Linked DNA regions of Caenorhabditis elegans. The protein of the gene in region 2 interacts with the protein of the main gene of each other region in a pairwise test. Each region holds a gene or a part of one and is shown on either strand. Other genes may lie near its edges.

Evidence for each region.
Region 1: the proteins of pph-5 (region 2) and C33A11.2 interact in a two-hybrid assay, tested with the Caenorhabditis elegans proteins (one large-scale study listed by BioGRID).

Annotation. Positions count from the first base shown.
Region 1 is NC_003284.9:15,363,560-15,372,250, forward strand, and holds C33A11.2 (Aa_trans domain-containing protein), read left to right. Parts: upstream 1-2,432; 5' UTR 2,433-2,437; coding exon 2,438-2,513; intron 2,514-3,212; coding exon 3,213-3,487; intron 3,488-4,405; coding exon 4,406-4,583; intron 4,584-4,889; coding exon 4,890-4,984; intron 4,985-5,115; exon of another isoform or gene 5,116-5,187; intron 5,188-6,005; coding exon 6,006-6,197; 3' UTR 6,198-6,440; downstream 6,441-8,691. Other genes in the region: svh-5 (Ets-domain protein), read right to left, coding at 7,083-7,200, 7,252-7,371, 7,430-7,586, 7,639-8,109, 8,408-8,525.
Region 2 is NC_003283.11:19,187,085-19,195,119, forward strand, and holds the start of pph-5 (Serine/threonine-protein phosphatase 5), read left to right. Parts: upstream 1-3,462; 5' UTR 3,463-3,470; coding exon 3,471-3,594; intron 3,595-3,652; coding exon 3,653-3,900; intron 3,901-4,531; coding exon 4,532-4,711; intron 4,712-5,380; coding exon 5,381-5,623; intron 5,624-6,452; coding exon 6,453-6,701; intron 6,702-8,035. Other genes in the region: hot-2 (Homolog of Odr-2 (Two)), read left to right, coding at 387-569; Y39B6A.3 (Iron-sulfur cluster assembly 1 homolog, mitochondrial), read right to left, coding at 2,256-2,408, 2,514-2,603, 2,680-2,767, 2,816-2,880.

The DNA.
Region 1 (8,691 bases), on a different chromosome or scaffold from region 2:
TTCTGAAGTATATGCTAGTTGCTGGTACATAAAGTCCATCTCATTCCTTTTTTTCTTTTCTTATTTCACGTTTTTACCTTCTCCACTCCCCTTCCTCTCTCTCTCTCGAAATTTTGTGCTATATTCCCCGTACTAGGTGGTACAACGTCACAGTTTCTCTGTTCACCCATCCCCTTCAATATTCCTTCATTTTTCACAAAAACAAGCAGCTTCTGTCATTTTTCGCATTTTTATTCTTTGTTGCTAACCTGTCCTATGTAGATAAAACAGGAAGAATGAAGTTCAGGAATAAAATATTAACCAAAGAACCTGTTTTGTAGTTGGGAATATTTAGAGCAGAACTTGTGCTCAACGTTTGCTGAAAAATTTAAAAGTGATTTAGAAGTTGGCAAAGCCTGTCTAAAGTAGACCATGTTCAAGTTTTGCACGACCAGTTTTAAGCACGGTATAAACAGTGCCAGGCTCTGGGTACAGCATATTTTTAAGCGCAAGTAAATTGAACGATTTTTCAGTTACATACGTACGCCTGCCTACTGCCTATTTTCTCCATTTTGGATGTAAAATTAGGTGTTTTGAGAATGAAGACAGTATTCATTTGTTGAAACTTCGAAAATTATTTATACAAAATTCCTGACTGTTGGCAAGCATTTTTGCGCAAACATGTTTTATTTCAAAACTTCCTATTTTGGAAAGTATTTTTTTAAACATTAACCACATTCATTCAGCACGATTATATGGTTCGCATGTGATATTATTTTGTATTCGGTTGCGATTTATTTATTTTTCGAGATTTATTTTACAAAAAAGTTTTATCGTCTGCAAAAATAATTTGTTTGAAAATGACAATAATTATTAATTAGATAAAAAACAGTTATCAATTTTTCAATTTGCTATTTAAATGTTCAAATTTGTTTTCCGAGCCATTTTATTTCAAAATTCGAAAAAAAACCCGTGCAAAACTCGTTATCACTGAGCAATAATGACAGTATTTATTGAAAAAAAATGTTTTGTGGATTTTTGCTTTGCTCGGTCTGAGATCTACCTAGAAATGCAATACAAAGGAATAATGATTCACTTTTCTTCCTGTATTGGTTTTCACCAGATATAAATTCACAGGGTATTTCAACAATTTTCATTTTTCTCTGAAAAATTTCAAAAAATTTGCACAATCTTTTAAAGTCTGAATTAGTATCAAAAATTGAATACTTAACTGAAAAATTGTAAATTTCAAAAAAGCCAGTTACATATATTCATTTTTCCAGGTCTTGAAATTGTTCTACGTATCTATTAAAATGCAAACACTGGATTTCCTAATCCCTTTTAAAGGTGAAGGTAGGGTCAGTTGTTTTTTTGTCTACATGCATTTTTAAAAATTCAGAATGGACGAATTTTAAGATAAATCACTTGAAAATTTTTAGATTTTCAAAATTTTGCAGGCAAATTTTTGGTAATTTGGAAAATTTACAATACATTTTAACTATTTAACAAATTTAGGGCAATGCCCAAAACACAATTGGAAAACAACAATTTTAGGTAAAAGATTTTTTGTGCAACTTCTAAAATTATGAGTAACATTACCTTACCCAATTTTTCAATATAAGTTTTTTGGAGTTAACTTCAAAAAATTCCCTACTGGGGATACCGAATCTTTATTGTAAGGTACGGTAGGATGTGTCTTTCCAAAACATTTAGTTTCTTTTCCAAATTTTTTTTCTGAGCAACCACATGATTTCTCAATCCTCCCGTTTTTTTCCCTCAACAACTGCTCACGTGACAGTCCTCAGATTGTGTTCAAAACTAGCCCCCTCCAGTTGCCCTTTTGTCTCGTATTAGTCCTGACACCTCTATCCTTCCTCAGCTGTCTCGCCGTCTCACTCTCGCAACATAGTGTCCGTAGGGGTCACGTGTCTGCGTGTGTGTGTCTTTTGTGCACACTGGTTATGAACACTTGCCGACTGTTAGAACACCGGATTGCACGCGCAAAACAGTTTTCAAATGGTCTCCAGTTTTTTAGGCCTAATTCTTTTTTCATGCTATGAAATTCGTTGTTTTTCCTATTTTTTCGAAGTTTTTTTTTAAATTGAAAGCATTAGTTGAAAAAAAGGAACTAAAGTTAATAGAATTTTAGGAAGACCTCGAAAAGATACTAATCAATTTACTTTCTCTCTGCCTCTCCAAATAAATTTCTTTTCTCCGCCAAAACGCAGCTGTTTTCTTTCTGCCCTCTAATCGTTCCGAGCCTTCTATCAAATAATTGATAAGAGTATATAACGTTCGAGATAGAAACACCGTTCTGATAACTTTTTAAAGCATCCCCATTCCAACAAAAAAAATCGTTTCCTCACATGATTATGTTTCACATCGATTTTTGTTGTTGTGTTGTTGTTTCACTGTTTGATTCTCGTTTGTTCTTGTTTGTACTCTACTCTTGCAGGGCATGTGTGTCGGCCTGTCAAAACTAGGGTTCGGCCCGCTGCCCGTTCTTATCGCGCTCATCTTCTTCGTGCAGTCATGTAAGTTTTTTTTGTGACAAAAGAAAGTGATAGAATAACTTGAAAATTAAAAAGACAAATTGTCCTGCTATTCGACAACAATGTTTTTTTTTAAATTTAAATTGCAACTTCTGTTATTTAGCAAATATTTTTTTTTCTAAAGACACCAGGTTAATTTAGAGTATTTCGTTTTTAGCATTGCATCAAAATTTCGTTTTCAAAACTAGAACTATTTTTTGCTATTTCGCAGTTATTTTACTATAAAACCGTTCACAAAGTCATCAATGATTTTGGATATCTCGTGAAACAAGTCAAAATGCATTGGAAGAAAAATTAAATTAAATTTATTAATATATTATTTTTAAAAAAATTCAAAATTCATCTTCAACAAATATAGTTTATGGGGTTATTCAAGTAGTGTCGGAAAATTACAAGGTGTAAAAAAAATGACGTCACAACTGTGTTAACATACCTTGTTTTTAATGTATTTTAACACAGTTGTGACGTTATTTTTCTAGACTTTTTAATTTTCCGGCACTACTTGAACAACCCCATAGATTATTTTTTTTTTAAAGACGAATTTAGAAAATTTTTAAATGGTATATAAATAAATTAAAAAAAAAGGATACACACTATGCATTTCCTATACGGTTTCAAATTCACATTGACAAATTACTTCCAAACAGGCCTAACTATGTACATATGTATATCAACTTTCAGTTTTCGTCTACACTATCGCAGTGCTCAAACACGACGTCGATCCAATCTTCCCGTACCTCTCGTCGGCCGCCGACAAACGTCCCCAATCATGCATCTTTGCCATCGGAGCCAACATCAGCAGTGTTCTGCTTGCCCTTGTGGTCTTTGTGAGATATCGCCAGTTGAGGGGCATTTTCGCATTCTATGATGAGGCCAACCTGCAGGCATGGAACTGGCGGCAAAAGTGGTTTGGATACATTGCCGCGCTGGGATTGTTCTTTGTGGCAAATGTTCAGGTAGTTAATTTTGAATAAGTTTAAATTTTAATTCGGCAAAGCCGAAAAAAAAACGTTTTGTCAATGATGTAGAAATTTATATGAATTGTAGCAAAAAATGTACTTGATTTGATGATTTATAGCAATTGATAGGGTTCTGGTAAATGAATAATTTATCAGGGTTGTAGTTTGAAATCCAGTCGACTTTCTAACTGTTAAGAATCAGATCAGAGGTGGGCGGCAAACAAAGTGCCAATTTGCCGAATTTACCCGTCTTATTAATAATTTCCCTAAACATTTCCGGGAAATCTGATATCCGGCAAACGGCAAATTGGCAATTTGCCGAAAATGAAAATTTCCGGTAAATCGGCAAACCGGCAATTTGCCGCCCACCCCCAAATCAGATATAAAAAATGTAATCAGAAAATTAATTATGACGACTTTCAGAATTTTTTTAATTCAAATAAACTAAACTATTGTCACGTGATCGACATTTGGCTCAAGCTTCTTGCCCAAGTCTAATCCAATTTTTGCCAAACTTCTGCCCAAGATTAAAATAAAACAAGACAAGTTTGAGCAAAAGTTTGGCAAGAGATGGGTGAAATTTGGACTAAACTTTGGCGCAGAATAAATCAATGTTTAGCTAAAGTCTTGCCCGACTTTTGTCCAAGTTTAGCTAACTATCGATTCAAGCTAATATTTTTTGGGCCAAATTTAGACAAGAAGCTGAAGCCAAATGCCGAGTGTACAGTGACCCTTTTTACTTTGGCAGCGTTTAATTCACCGAACCCAGAGCGATTTACCCATCGGCTCTTCTCCAGTTCAAACTTGCCACTGAAATCCGCCACAACAACTAGAATGTTACAACAAACGCTGAAAAAAAACCCGAACGAGAGAAAAGTCCGAACGGAATTTCTCCTAATAATTTTTACTTTTCAGGAAACCGCCATCATCCCGGTTCACATGTCCTCCGCCGTTGCCTCATTTGGTGGATTCAGCATCTACATGATCTTCCAGTGCTACCTTACGCACCGAGTCACACCGACAATCACACTGAGGACTGTTTTCTATTACCGTGTGATCTTCACTATCTTCTCCGTGATTTGCTTCTGCTGCTGTAAGTTTCGACCTTTGCACTCGGAATTTTTTTTTTTTCTGAAGAGATTGATCGCATTCTTGATGATAACATCTAGTTGTTCCCTGTAGTGGATTTAAAATACGAATTGGTTGATAATTTAACAAGATTACGCTACATAGAATCGACAAATGTTAAAGGAAGTTGCGCATGATCTTTGAAGTCTTCCTTGGTTAAAGTCTAAACTAGCTCACCAATCGGATATATAAAAAATTGTGCAACATTTTAGCGATGTATCATAAATGATCTCAATGATTCATGGCTATGCAAAGAAATTTAAATTTTCAGCATTTGGATTCGGAATCGCTGCTTCCAAAATCTTCCACAAGACGTACCCGGATCTTCCGACGCCCCGTCCCTGGTCCCGTCGTATTTATCAGCCCGTAAGTATTATTGATATTCAGTAAATAATACATTGAATGATAGTCGAAAACTATAAAACCAAAAAAAATATATATTTCCGGGGGCAGCATAGCTCAGTCGGTAGTGGTGGCCGCTAACAATCTGGAGGTTGGCCTGAGTGGTCTAGTGGGTAAGGTGCGCGACTTTCACCCACATGGTGCAGGTTCAATCCCCACGCCGGTCACTCTTGTCTCCGCTTTGACCGGTGCGTTGGTCGCCTGATCATTATGATGTATGATACCCAAATAAAGTCGTGGTTAATAGACGGGCCGGAGGTCCGTACAGAAAAAAAAACTCGGCGCTGGGTGAATAATATCTGAAGTGCATCGATCAGTTACGAGTCTGGTGATTAATGGGGGCGTCGTCGTCGCTCAGATCCCCCCGACCTAGTCGGGCCAACACCCATTAGCTCTCAACGCGCGCACGTTGTACAATTATTATTATATATTAACAATCTGGAGGTCACAAGTTCAAGTCCGGCCTCACCCCCTGGGTTTACCCAGCCTCTATTGGGAAGTGCAGCAATCCACGACTGGATTATTGTCCACAGTCCCCGGCTAGGACGTGGCTTAAATTATAGCCCAGGGGGAGCACCAGTGTACCTGACTTATAGATCCGCAGTGCATAGCGCTTGTAGAACGGATCGTCATTTAATCTTTTTTTTTTTAAATATTTCATTTAAACAGACTTTCTGTTGAAGGAACCACTACAATCTTGTTGGAATCTTGATGTCAGCTATAAAATTGTTTCATGGGAAATTTCAAATGCTCTTTTTTTTTTAAACTCACTTGCAGTAGCATCTATTCCCTCAATCCCCACCAGCAAATTCGCAGAATGGGTAATTCCTGGTCTCCCGAATTGAATTCCTGGAAAAAATATTTGTTTTGTATTTTAGGAACAATGTACCTTAAAAAATCAGTTTATAGTCTGGTCTCACACAAGGCAGAATGAGTTAAAAAAAACCCCTTGAAGTTCTTAGAAAACAATTTTTCAAATTTCCAGGGCTACGAGCTGCACCAGATCTCGGCGCTCGCTGAATGGGGATGTGCCATCTCACAGATCTTCTTCATACAGTCGTTTGGGCCGGAGTTTGAGGACATCTCCCTCGACTATTATCTCAAATCGCACTACGTTCCGCGCGGAGCACTTGAGCAGGAGGAGTATGAAAATGAGTACCAAGGATATGGCATCTAGAAATTATTGCATTCGAATCTTTCTCTTTCTGTTACCGGTGGGCCGTTGACGCAGCTCATTTTCACGTGTTCTACTAGTATTTTGAAATTTCATGACATTTAATTTTGCTGTAACATCTCATGTTTTTTGCATCCCCGTTTTTCTTTCACAAAGATTCCCCAACTACCCAGTTTTTTTAGTGCCTTGTATATCCCATTGAATTGTTTGTTGCAGGTGCTATCAATCAATTAACCATTTATTTTTATAACTTTTTTTTTCATCTTTCTAGGGACACAAGATTTGAATAATTGGAGGAGACAATTCAGAGCAAAAAAGAAAAGACAAAATGTTTTTAAAATGACAACAAAGAGAGAAATGATCGATTCGGGAAAGGGCTGGAGAACAAAAAATAGTGGGTAAAACTATTGCACAATTTTTTGAGGTAATTATGGTAATTCAGAGAAACAGGAAGAGAGAGAGATGAAAATAAGGAAAATTGAAGGAAAAAAGATAGAAAAATGAAATTAGAAAGGAAAAATGAATTTTTTTAATGAGAAAATCTTGATACAAAATTTATAAATCACAAAACTCAAATTTTTCGGGGAAAACTGAATGATGATGATGATGAGAGAAGATAAGATATTTTTAAATATGGAAACTTTAATAACGACGAAAAAAAAACCATAAGTTAATGTGTTCCCATACGACTACCAATGAATACATCAATTAGAGATCAAAAAACTGGAATTTGATTTGTATATTTGAGTTTCTGTTTGGTTTAGAATTCTTCCAATGAATAGCATTGCTGTGCTATTCAATACCTGACACTGATTGACTGGAATTTCTTGGAAACCTGAAAAGTATATAACATCTAATTTAGCTCCTTTAAAAATTCAAATTTACCATTTAAATGCCCTTTACATTTTCCCAACCATGGGCACCTGGTCCGAACTTGTACACCAGTTTCTTCGGATAAAGACCAGTTTTTGGGACTGGAACCAGTATTTGCTTTTCGTAGTAGGTTCTGAAAAAAAGATATGTTTTTAAGCATTAATTTGAATTTTTGACGACAAACCTCATCGCTCGACTGAGCTTTTCATATGTCATTTTTTCATTGTTTTTTCGAGCTCCCCACAGCCGAGCCAGCTTCTCTGACTCCACGATACGGAATACTCCTTCAATCGGGTCTTCCCATCTGGAAACATTAACCATGAGTATTTAATTTTATTTTTACATTTGCTGAAGGAACTCACCTCACAACAGACGGACAAGTTGATGGGTCTTTCAACGCATCTCTGATAAACTCCCACAATTTATTACCCTTCGTGTGTTGCGAACGCTTTCTTGGTTTGCCATCTTTGTTCTTTTTGATTTTCAAGTCACTGCTTTCAGCCGACCTTTCTTCTGGCACTAAAATAGATTGGATATTGAATAAAACATGAGTCTGGAATTTGGCTCTTACCTTCGTATTCGGTGTTGATCGTGCATGAATATTTGAGCATTGGCGACAACTTTGGTTGGATCGGCGCACTGAGAAGCGGTGACGCGGGGTTTAACCGGCTTGATAGCTGATAGTTGACTCCTAATGGACTGAGACTACTGGTCAAGCCTGCTGCAATGCTGGACGCCAAAGATTGATTGAGCGATTGAACGGCGTTGGCAGTTTGCTGGGGTGTGAGAATTGTAGTGTTAAATGTCTGTTGAGAGAGCACTTGAGTTAGACTGCTCAAATTGTTTAGCTGATGTTGCATAACAGGTAGCGGAGCAAGGTGTGGCGTTGGATGTTGAAGAGGAGGCTGAATTGTGCATGTGATACTGCTAATCATTGGTTGTAATCCCAAGGAAGTCATATCAACGATCGTAGGTGGTGCACTGGTTGTCGCAATTTCATCGTCCACAAATGGCCCAATGACAGTATCAAGAGTTGTGTCTTCTGAAACAAAGAGAAAATGAGAAATGATAGAAGAAAAATCGAATAGTGCTCGAAAGTGCAAGACTTTTACTCTGCTCTTCTGATTCCTCGAATCTCTCTATATTCAAAACTCTTGCAATTCGAAATCATAATAATAATTCTAATTCTAATTCACATGAACTGAAAGAAATCAGACATTGCTGCTTTCTCTCTTTCTGCTGAGAAAAATTAAGAATATAATACCAGTGATCAAAAACCAGCACAAGTGCTTCTAAGTGCTGTCCAACCAAATATTAACCACCGAATCTCACAATCTCACCTGAGTTTTCCAACGTCTTTCTGAACTCGTTGAAAATCAAATTTCCAAAGACCGGATCCCTCTCGATGAAGCATCGCTCGCTCATCGTTAGCATTTCTTGACCCGAGAGCATTGCGAACTGAAAATAGCGCATTAAATATTAGGGAGGAGAAAGAGAAGAGAGGGGGGAAAAACGGGAGAAAAGAAGATATGATGTCGAGCTGGTCTTCTAGAGTTATTTAAAAATGACAAAACTAGTCGATCAACAACCACTCTGCTACGTTAATCCTATTGATATCATTATA
Region 2 (8,035 bases):
ATGCTCATCGAGCTCTATCTCGGCTCAAAGTGACGTTAGCTCAAATTTGATAAAAAATTTGAATTTGCGATAAATTTTGCTACTGATTTGACCCCCATATTGATATTTTTGAAATTTTGGAATTTGACAACACCAAATGCTCATTTTGAAAAATCGATTTTCTAGGCCTCAAAATAGGCTTATTTTGAGTTAAAAAACATTTTTAAAGCCTAAAAGCTTAAAAGCTTAAAATATTTGTAGTCCCGACAATTTTTAGACAGTTTTAAAAATGAGTCCCAGTGGCGCAGTATGTTAGAGGCGCGTTTACCACGCACAGGTCCAAAGTTCGAGTCCCACTGCGGTCAATAATTTTTATTTTTATTGTGATTCTTAATAAAACATTCCAGAACCACTGCCGAACGCTTTCCCGCTCAGCCCTCTTCAACCCAGCCCGGCAGACTGACCCCCCGGCACTCGGCGATGTTCAACTGTGCTCGTGTTACGGTGACCGGTGTAATTCTACAATAATGACGTCATCATCAATATTTATCGTCTTTTTATTAGTTTTTCTACATCGGTTATTGTATTGAAAAAGATTTTCTAAAAAATTTTTTTTTTGTGAAAAAAATTGCAATTTTTTTTTGAATTTATTGATTTTTACATGTCTTTCTTTGGATTTTTTTTTTGAAATATGATCTCCGTTTCTCTAGATGCCCATTTTTATGTTGGATATATGTATTACGGGTTTTTATATAAATATATATATATATTGGAAACACCAAACATTATTGGTTTTTTTTTTTGCTATTCTAACTGTAAGTTTTATTGCAAAAAGTGAATAAATTTTTACGTTCTTTTTTCTGAAAATTGTTTTATTTAAAAAAAAACAAAAAAACAAAAAAATTCAAAGATTTTGTCCAAATGGCTCAGTGGGATTTTCGCCGAACAAACTAAAACTACGAGAAAAAGGTGAAAATTGAGTTTTAAAACTTTAATTTATGAAAAATCTAAAAATTTGTGAGTTTTTCGCATATAAAAACTTAAAATTTAACTTAAAACCGTGATTTCTTATAATTTTCATCATTTTTCTGAATTTTTGAAAAGTTCGGTACAAGTGGCTCAGTGGGATTTTCGCCGACTACCAATCACAAGACCGGGGTTCGAGGCCGCGCTGAGGTCAAAAATTTTTGTAGTGGTTTTTTAACGTTTTTTGACAATTCAACTACGTAGAGTCCAAATTTTTAAGTGTTAGAAAACCAAAAACTACAAGAAAATGGTGAAAATTAAGTTTCAAAATTTCAATTTTAAAAAAGTCTAAAACTAGAGCTTTTTACATATAAAAACTTAAAATTTAACTTAAAACCGTGATTTCTTATAATTTTCATCGTTTTTCTGAATTTTCGAAAATTTTGTCCAAGTGGCGCAGTGGGATTTTCGCCGACTACCAATCACAAGACCGGGGTTCGAGACCGCACTGTGGCACAATTTTTTTATTGTGATTTTTAAACGGTTTTCGGATAATTCCACCATGCGGAATCCGAATTTTCAAGTTTTAGAACACAAAAACTACGAGAACATTATGAAAATTGAATTTTAAACTTTAATTTTTTTAAAAATCTAAAATTTGTGAGTTTTTCACATATAAAAAATTAAAATTTAACTTAAAACCGTGATTTCTTATAATTTCCATCGTTTTTCTGAATTTTCGAAAATTGTGTCCAAGTGGTGCAGTGGGATTTTCGCCGACTACCAATCATACCTCCGGGGTTCGAGTCCCCGCTGTGGTAAAAAATTTTTATTTTGATTTTTAAATGGTTTTCGGATAATTCCACCATGCGGAATCCGAATTTTCAAGTTTTAGAACACAAAAACTACGAGAACATGGTGAAAATTGAATTTTAAACTTTAATTTTTTTTAAAATCTAAAATTTGTGAGTTTTTCACATATAAAAATTTAAAATTTAACTTAAAACCGTGATTTCTTATAATTTCCATCGTTTTTCTGAATTTTCAAAAAAATGTGTCCAAGTGGCGCAGTGGGATTTTCGCCGACTACCAATCACACCTCCGGGGTTCGAGCCCCCAGCGTGGTCGAATTTTTTTGTATCTTTTGTATTTTTCTCCAAACAAGTTAATCATGCAAACTTCATATGTTTTTCACCTGAAAATTGCCAAATTTTCTGCACTATATTCAAATTTATTAGCATTTTTTCTAGAATGTACACGTGGAAATCACTACTAAATTATGGTAAATAGCGTAGCAAATCATCATCAAATCAAATACTAAAAGATTCTCCGCATCCACACGTTCCTTTAATATTAGGATTTCGGAAAACGAATTCCGACGATAGCTTATCGGTGACGTAATCCATTTCTGAGCCGAGTAGCGAGAGCTGAGCTTTTGGTTCGATCCACACTTTGATTCCGTCCTGGAAAATGGGAAAAATTGGGGGATTTTTCATCGAAATTAGTGAAAATCCGGGTTTTTTGTGATAAATTTGAGCTAAAAATCCAGATTTTGAGGCAATTTCTACCTGCTCAACTTCCTCGTCAAATTTCTGCTTATCCTTTGCATATTCCAGTGTATATGTTAACCCATTACAGCCTTTTTGTCGAACTCCGATCTGAAAAAATTAAAAATTTCATCATTTCCGGCGGCGCAAAAATCGAAAAATCGAAAAATCGACGGAAAAAACGAACTTTCAACGCATTTGCATCATTCTGTTGAGCCAATAACACGCGTATTCTGCTGACGGCTTCGTTGGTAAGTGTGAGAGCCGCTCTGAAACTTTTTCGGGGTGAAAATTGGCAGATTTCCGGGAAAATTCAGAATTACCTCGTTTGTCGGACTTTTAGCGCGCCTTTTATGACTTTTGCAGTTGCTCCACCGAATTTTGACATCGGAAAATTGAAAATTTAGTCGAAAAATGAGTAAAATAGCGAAAATTCCAGAAATAAAATGAAAAAAAAAAAAAAAGTGACAACGTTGCTCCGAAATCCCGGCCACGCGTGTAGTTTACCGTAAATCCAAACAAGAAATTTTTTGTCAAAATTGCCGAAATCAAGCGATTTTTAAGCTTTTTTTCTGTAAATTTTTTACGAAAATATGAAAAAATCAACGTTTTCATGCTATTATTTATTTTTCCCCTGTAAAAAACCTTTGAAATCATCGAAAAACCCTTAAAATCCAATAAAAACCCAAACACAACGACACTCCGCTCACCTCCCACCGCGTGTTGTTTACCGTAAATCCACACACAAGAGCAATTGTGCAAAAAAAAAAAACCCCGTCCAACCGGAAATTGTCCCAAAATTCTTCATTTTCTATCGATTTTCTTGCATTTTTTGTGTTTTTTGTGAATTTCAGGCTCAACATTTCGAAAAACACGGTTAAATTTTAGGGAAACCGCTCCGAAATTCGGTTTTTTTCGCTAAAAAAAAAGAGAAAAAAAAGAAAAAAAAAAATAAAATCTAAATTTTCAGGCTCCGAAATGGCTGCCACTATAACAGATGACATTGTGGCGACAGTTTTGGAGTCAATTGAGGAAAAGTCGTACGAAGATGAGAAGGAGAAGGCTGGAATGATTAAAGATGAAGCTAATCAGTTTTTTAAGGGTATTTTTTGGAAAAAAACCGATTTTTTGATGAATTTTAAAGTATTTTCCTGCTGCAGATCAAGTGTACGACGTGGCCGCCGACCTCTACTCTGTCGCAATTGAGATTCATCCGACGGCGGTTCTTTACGGAAACCGTGCACAGGCCTATCTGAAGAAAGAGCTCTACGGAAGTGCTCTTGAGGATGCGGACAACGCGATTGCAATTGATCCGTCATATGTGAAGGGATTCTATAGAAGAGCTACCGCCAATATGGCTCTGGGGCGGTTTAAAAAGGCGTTGACCGATTATCAGGCGGTTGTTAAGGTGAAAATTCACTTTTTTTGGGTGTTGAAGAGCGGAAAAAACGGCGGTTTAGAAACTATTTTTCACCCGGTTTAAGAGAAAATTTCGAAAAAATATATCAATTTTCACCTCCAGAAAGTCGGAAAACGCGAAAAATTTGAAATTTTGCTTTTTCAATTTTGGGCGCTGCTAAGACTACAAACTACAAGATTTTGGGCGCTGCTAATTCAATTTTGGGCGCTGCTTAGACTACAAACTACAATATTTTGGGCGCTGCTTAGACTACAAACTACAAGATTTTGGGCGCTGCTAATTCAATTTTGGGCGCTGCTTAGACTACAAACTACAAGTTTTGGGCGCTGCTAATTCAATTTTGGGCGCTGTTAGACTACAAACTACAATATTTTGGGCGCTGCTAATTTAATTTTGGGCGCTGCTTAAACTACAAACTACAAGTTTTGGGCGCTGCTAATTCAATTTTGGGCGCTGCTGACAGCTTTCGGCCGAAAAAATTGAAAAGAAATCGATATTTATGAAAAAAAAAACCAATTTTTATGAGAAAAACGTGATTTTTGATAATTTTTCTCTCAAATTTAGTATAATTTCAAAAATTCCCGTATTTTTCCCCGAAAAAATTTCCATTTTTTTGCAGGTTTGCCCCAACGACAAAGACGCTCGCGCAAAATTCGACGAATGCTCGAAAATCGTCCGCCGACAGAAGTTTGAAGCCGCAATTTCGACGGATCACGACAAGAAAACCGTCGCCGAGACTCTTGATATTAATGCAATGGCTATTGAGGATTCGTATGATGGTCCACGGCTGGAAGATAAAGTACGGGTGGAAAATGGCTGTGAAAATCGATTTTTAGACGGAAAATTGATGTAAAACCGGCAATTTTGACCCCGAAATTCAATTTTCAGAGCGGAAATTGCGATTTTCGGTGGAAAACTGATGTAAAAATCAATTTTTCATAGAAATTTGATCTAAAAAACGGTCCAAAAACATAAATTTTTGTGAAAATCGATCTAAAAATACGTTTTTCAAGGGTAATAGGCCAGAAATTCGAATTTTTTTGCGAAAATTAGTCCAAAAAATCGATTTTTCAAGGGAAAAGTGGTCCTGAAACTATTTTTCATAAAAATTAATTTGAAAATCTATTTTTCACTGCAATTTTAACCCAAAAATCGATTTTTCACAAAAAAAAACTAGCATTTCCGGTCAGAAAACGTGCAAATTTCCAATCTTTTTTGGATTTTCTGGAATTTTCATTAAAAAATTGGTCCAAAAATCTATTTTTCATAGAAATTTAGTCCAAAAGTCAATTTTTCACGAAAAATTCGCCTGAAAATCATTTTTTTTTCATAGAAATTTAGTCTAAAAATCGATTTTCCGCAAAAAATACAGAAAAAAAGTGAATTTTTCGTTAAAAAAAAGCGAAAAATTGAGTTTTTTCCCGTTTTTTCCGTAAAAAACCGCAAAAATGATCAAAATCCTTTTCAGATAACCAAGGAATTCGTGTTGCAACTCATCAAAACGTTCAAAAATCAGCAAAAATTGCACAAAAAGTACGCGTTCAAGATGCTCCTCGAGTTTTATAATTATGTCAAATCACTGCCAACAATGGTTGAAATTACGGTGCCAACTGGCAAGAAATTCACGATTTGCGGTGATGTTCACGGACAATTCTACGATTTGTGCAATATTTTCGAGATTAATGGATATCCATCGGAGACTAATCCATATGTACGGGGAAAGCGCTGAAAAATGAGAGATTTTGACTGAAAATCCGGGAAAATTGAGGAATTTTGAGCTAAAATTCATAAAAATTTCCAATTTTTGACCGAAAATCATGAAAATAGGCAAATTTTGTGATATAATCATGTTTTCTAGTGAAAAACCTCTAAAAATTGAATTTTTTTGCAGAAATTATTGAAATAAGCTCAATAAATCGACATTTTGATTGAAATTCGTGAAAAAATTTCAAACATTAAAACCAAAACAGCTGAAAATTGAGGAATTTTCACCAAAAATGCGGATTTTCAGATAAAAACCCTGAAATGATTTTTTTTTTCAAAGTTTTGGCAGAAGTCATTGAAAAATTCCGAATTTTTAGCAAAAAGCAAAAAAATTGCCAATTTTTGACTTTAAATTTATGAAAAATGCTCGATTTTTTTACTAAAAACCGCCTGAAAGCCAAAATTTTGTCAAAAATCTTGAAAAAGTCGAATTTTCTACAAAAAACCATCAAAATTTCGAAATTTTGACTTAAAAATCAATGCAAAATATTTTTTTTTCACTAAAAAGCTGAAAAATGCTCTTTTTTAATGCTCGAAATTTTGGCTAAAATTCATTTTAAAAAATCCTGATTTTCACCAAAAATTGGCAATTTTTCATCAAAAAACTTGAAAAAATTTCAATTTTTTGCTGAAATTGCAGAAATACCACAAAAATTACCAAATTTTGACTCTAAAAATCACGAAAACACCTAATTTTCACCCCAAAAACCCCCGAAAATGGCCAAATTTTCACTTAAAATATGTGAAAAATGCTCAAAAAATGGCCAAATTTTCAGCTTTTCAACGGTGATTTCGTGGATCGTGGCTCATTTTCCGTTGAAACAATTTTCACAATGATTGGCTTCAAACTTCTATACCCAAATCATTTCTTTATGTCACGTGGAAATCACGAATCTGACGTCATGAATAAAATGTACGGATTTGAGGGTGAAGTTAAGGCGAAATATACTCAACAAATGTGTGATATGTTTACGGAGACGTTCTGCTGGTTACCATTGTGCCATTTGATTAATGAGAAGATTTTTGTGAGTTTCTTCACGTGAAAAATGGCCTGGAAATCTGGAAAATTTGAGGAAAATGGCCCAGAAATCGCTGAAATCCTGGATTTTTCATTTCTGGGCGCTGCTAATTTTCTGGACGCTGCTAATTTTTTGGTCACTGCTAATTATTTGGTCGCTGCTAATTTTTTGGGCGCTGCTAATTATTTGGTCGCTGCTAATTTTTTGGTCGCTGCTAATTATTTGGTCGCTGCTAATTTTTTGGTCACTGCTAATTATTTGGTCGCTGCTAATTTTTTGGGCGCTGCTAATTATTTGGTCGCTGCTAATTTTTTGGTCGCTGCTAATTATTTGGTCGCTGCTAATTTTCTGGGCGCTGCTAATTTTTTTGGTCGCTGCTAATTTTCTGGTCGCTGCTAATTTTCTGGTCGCTGCTAATTTTCTGGGCGCTGCTAATTTTTTTGGTCGCTGCTAAATTTTTGGGCGCTGCTAAATTTTTGGGCGCTGCTAATTTTCTGGGCGCTGCTAATTTTTTGGGCGCTGCTAATTTTTTGGTCGCTGCTAATTATTTGGTCGCTGCTAATTTTTTGGGCGCTGCTAATTTTTTGGTCGCTGCTAATTATTTGGTCGCTGCTAATTTTTTGGGCGCTGCTAATTTTTTGGTCGCTGCTAATTATTTGGTCGCTGCTAATTATTTGGTCGCTGCTAATTTTCTGGTCGCTGCTAATTTTTTGGGCGCTGCTAATTTTTGGGCGCTGCTAATTTTCTGGTCGCTGCTAATTTTTTGGGCGCTGCTAATTTTTGGGCGCTGCTAATTTTCTGGTCGCTGCTAATTTTCTGGTCGCTGCTAATTTTTTGGGCGCTGCTAATTTTTGGGCGCTGCTAATTTTTTGGTTGCTGCTAATTTTCTGGGCGCTGCTAATTTTTGGGCGCTGCTAATTTTTTGGTCGCTGCTAATTATTTGGTCGCTGCTAATTTTCTGGTCGCTGCTAATTTTTTGGGCGCTGCTAATTTTTGGGCGCTGCTAATTTTCTGGTCGCTGCTAATTTTCTGGGCGCTGCTAATTTTTTGGTCGCTGCTAATTTTTTGGTCGCTGCTAATTTTTGGGCGCTGCTAATTTTCTGGTCGCTGCTAATTTTTTGGGCGCTGCTAATTTTTGGGCGCTGCTAATTTTCTGGTCGCTGCTAATTTTCTGGTCGCTGCTAATTTTTTGGGCGCTGCTAATTTTTTGGTCGCTGCTAATTATTTGGTCGCTGCTAATTATTTGGGCGCTGCTAATTTTTTGGTCGCTGCTAATTATTTGGTCGCTGCTAATTTTTTGGTCGCTGCTAATTATTTGGTCGCTGCTAATTTTTTGGTCG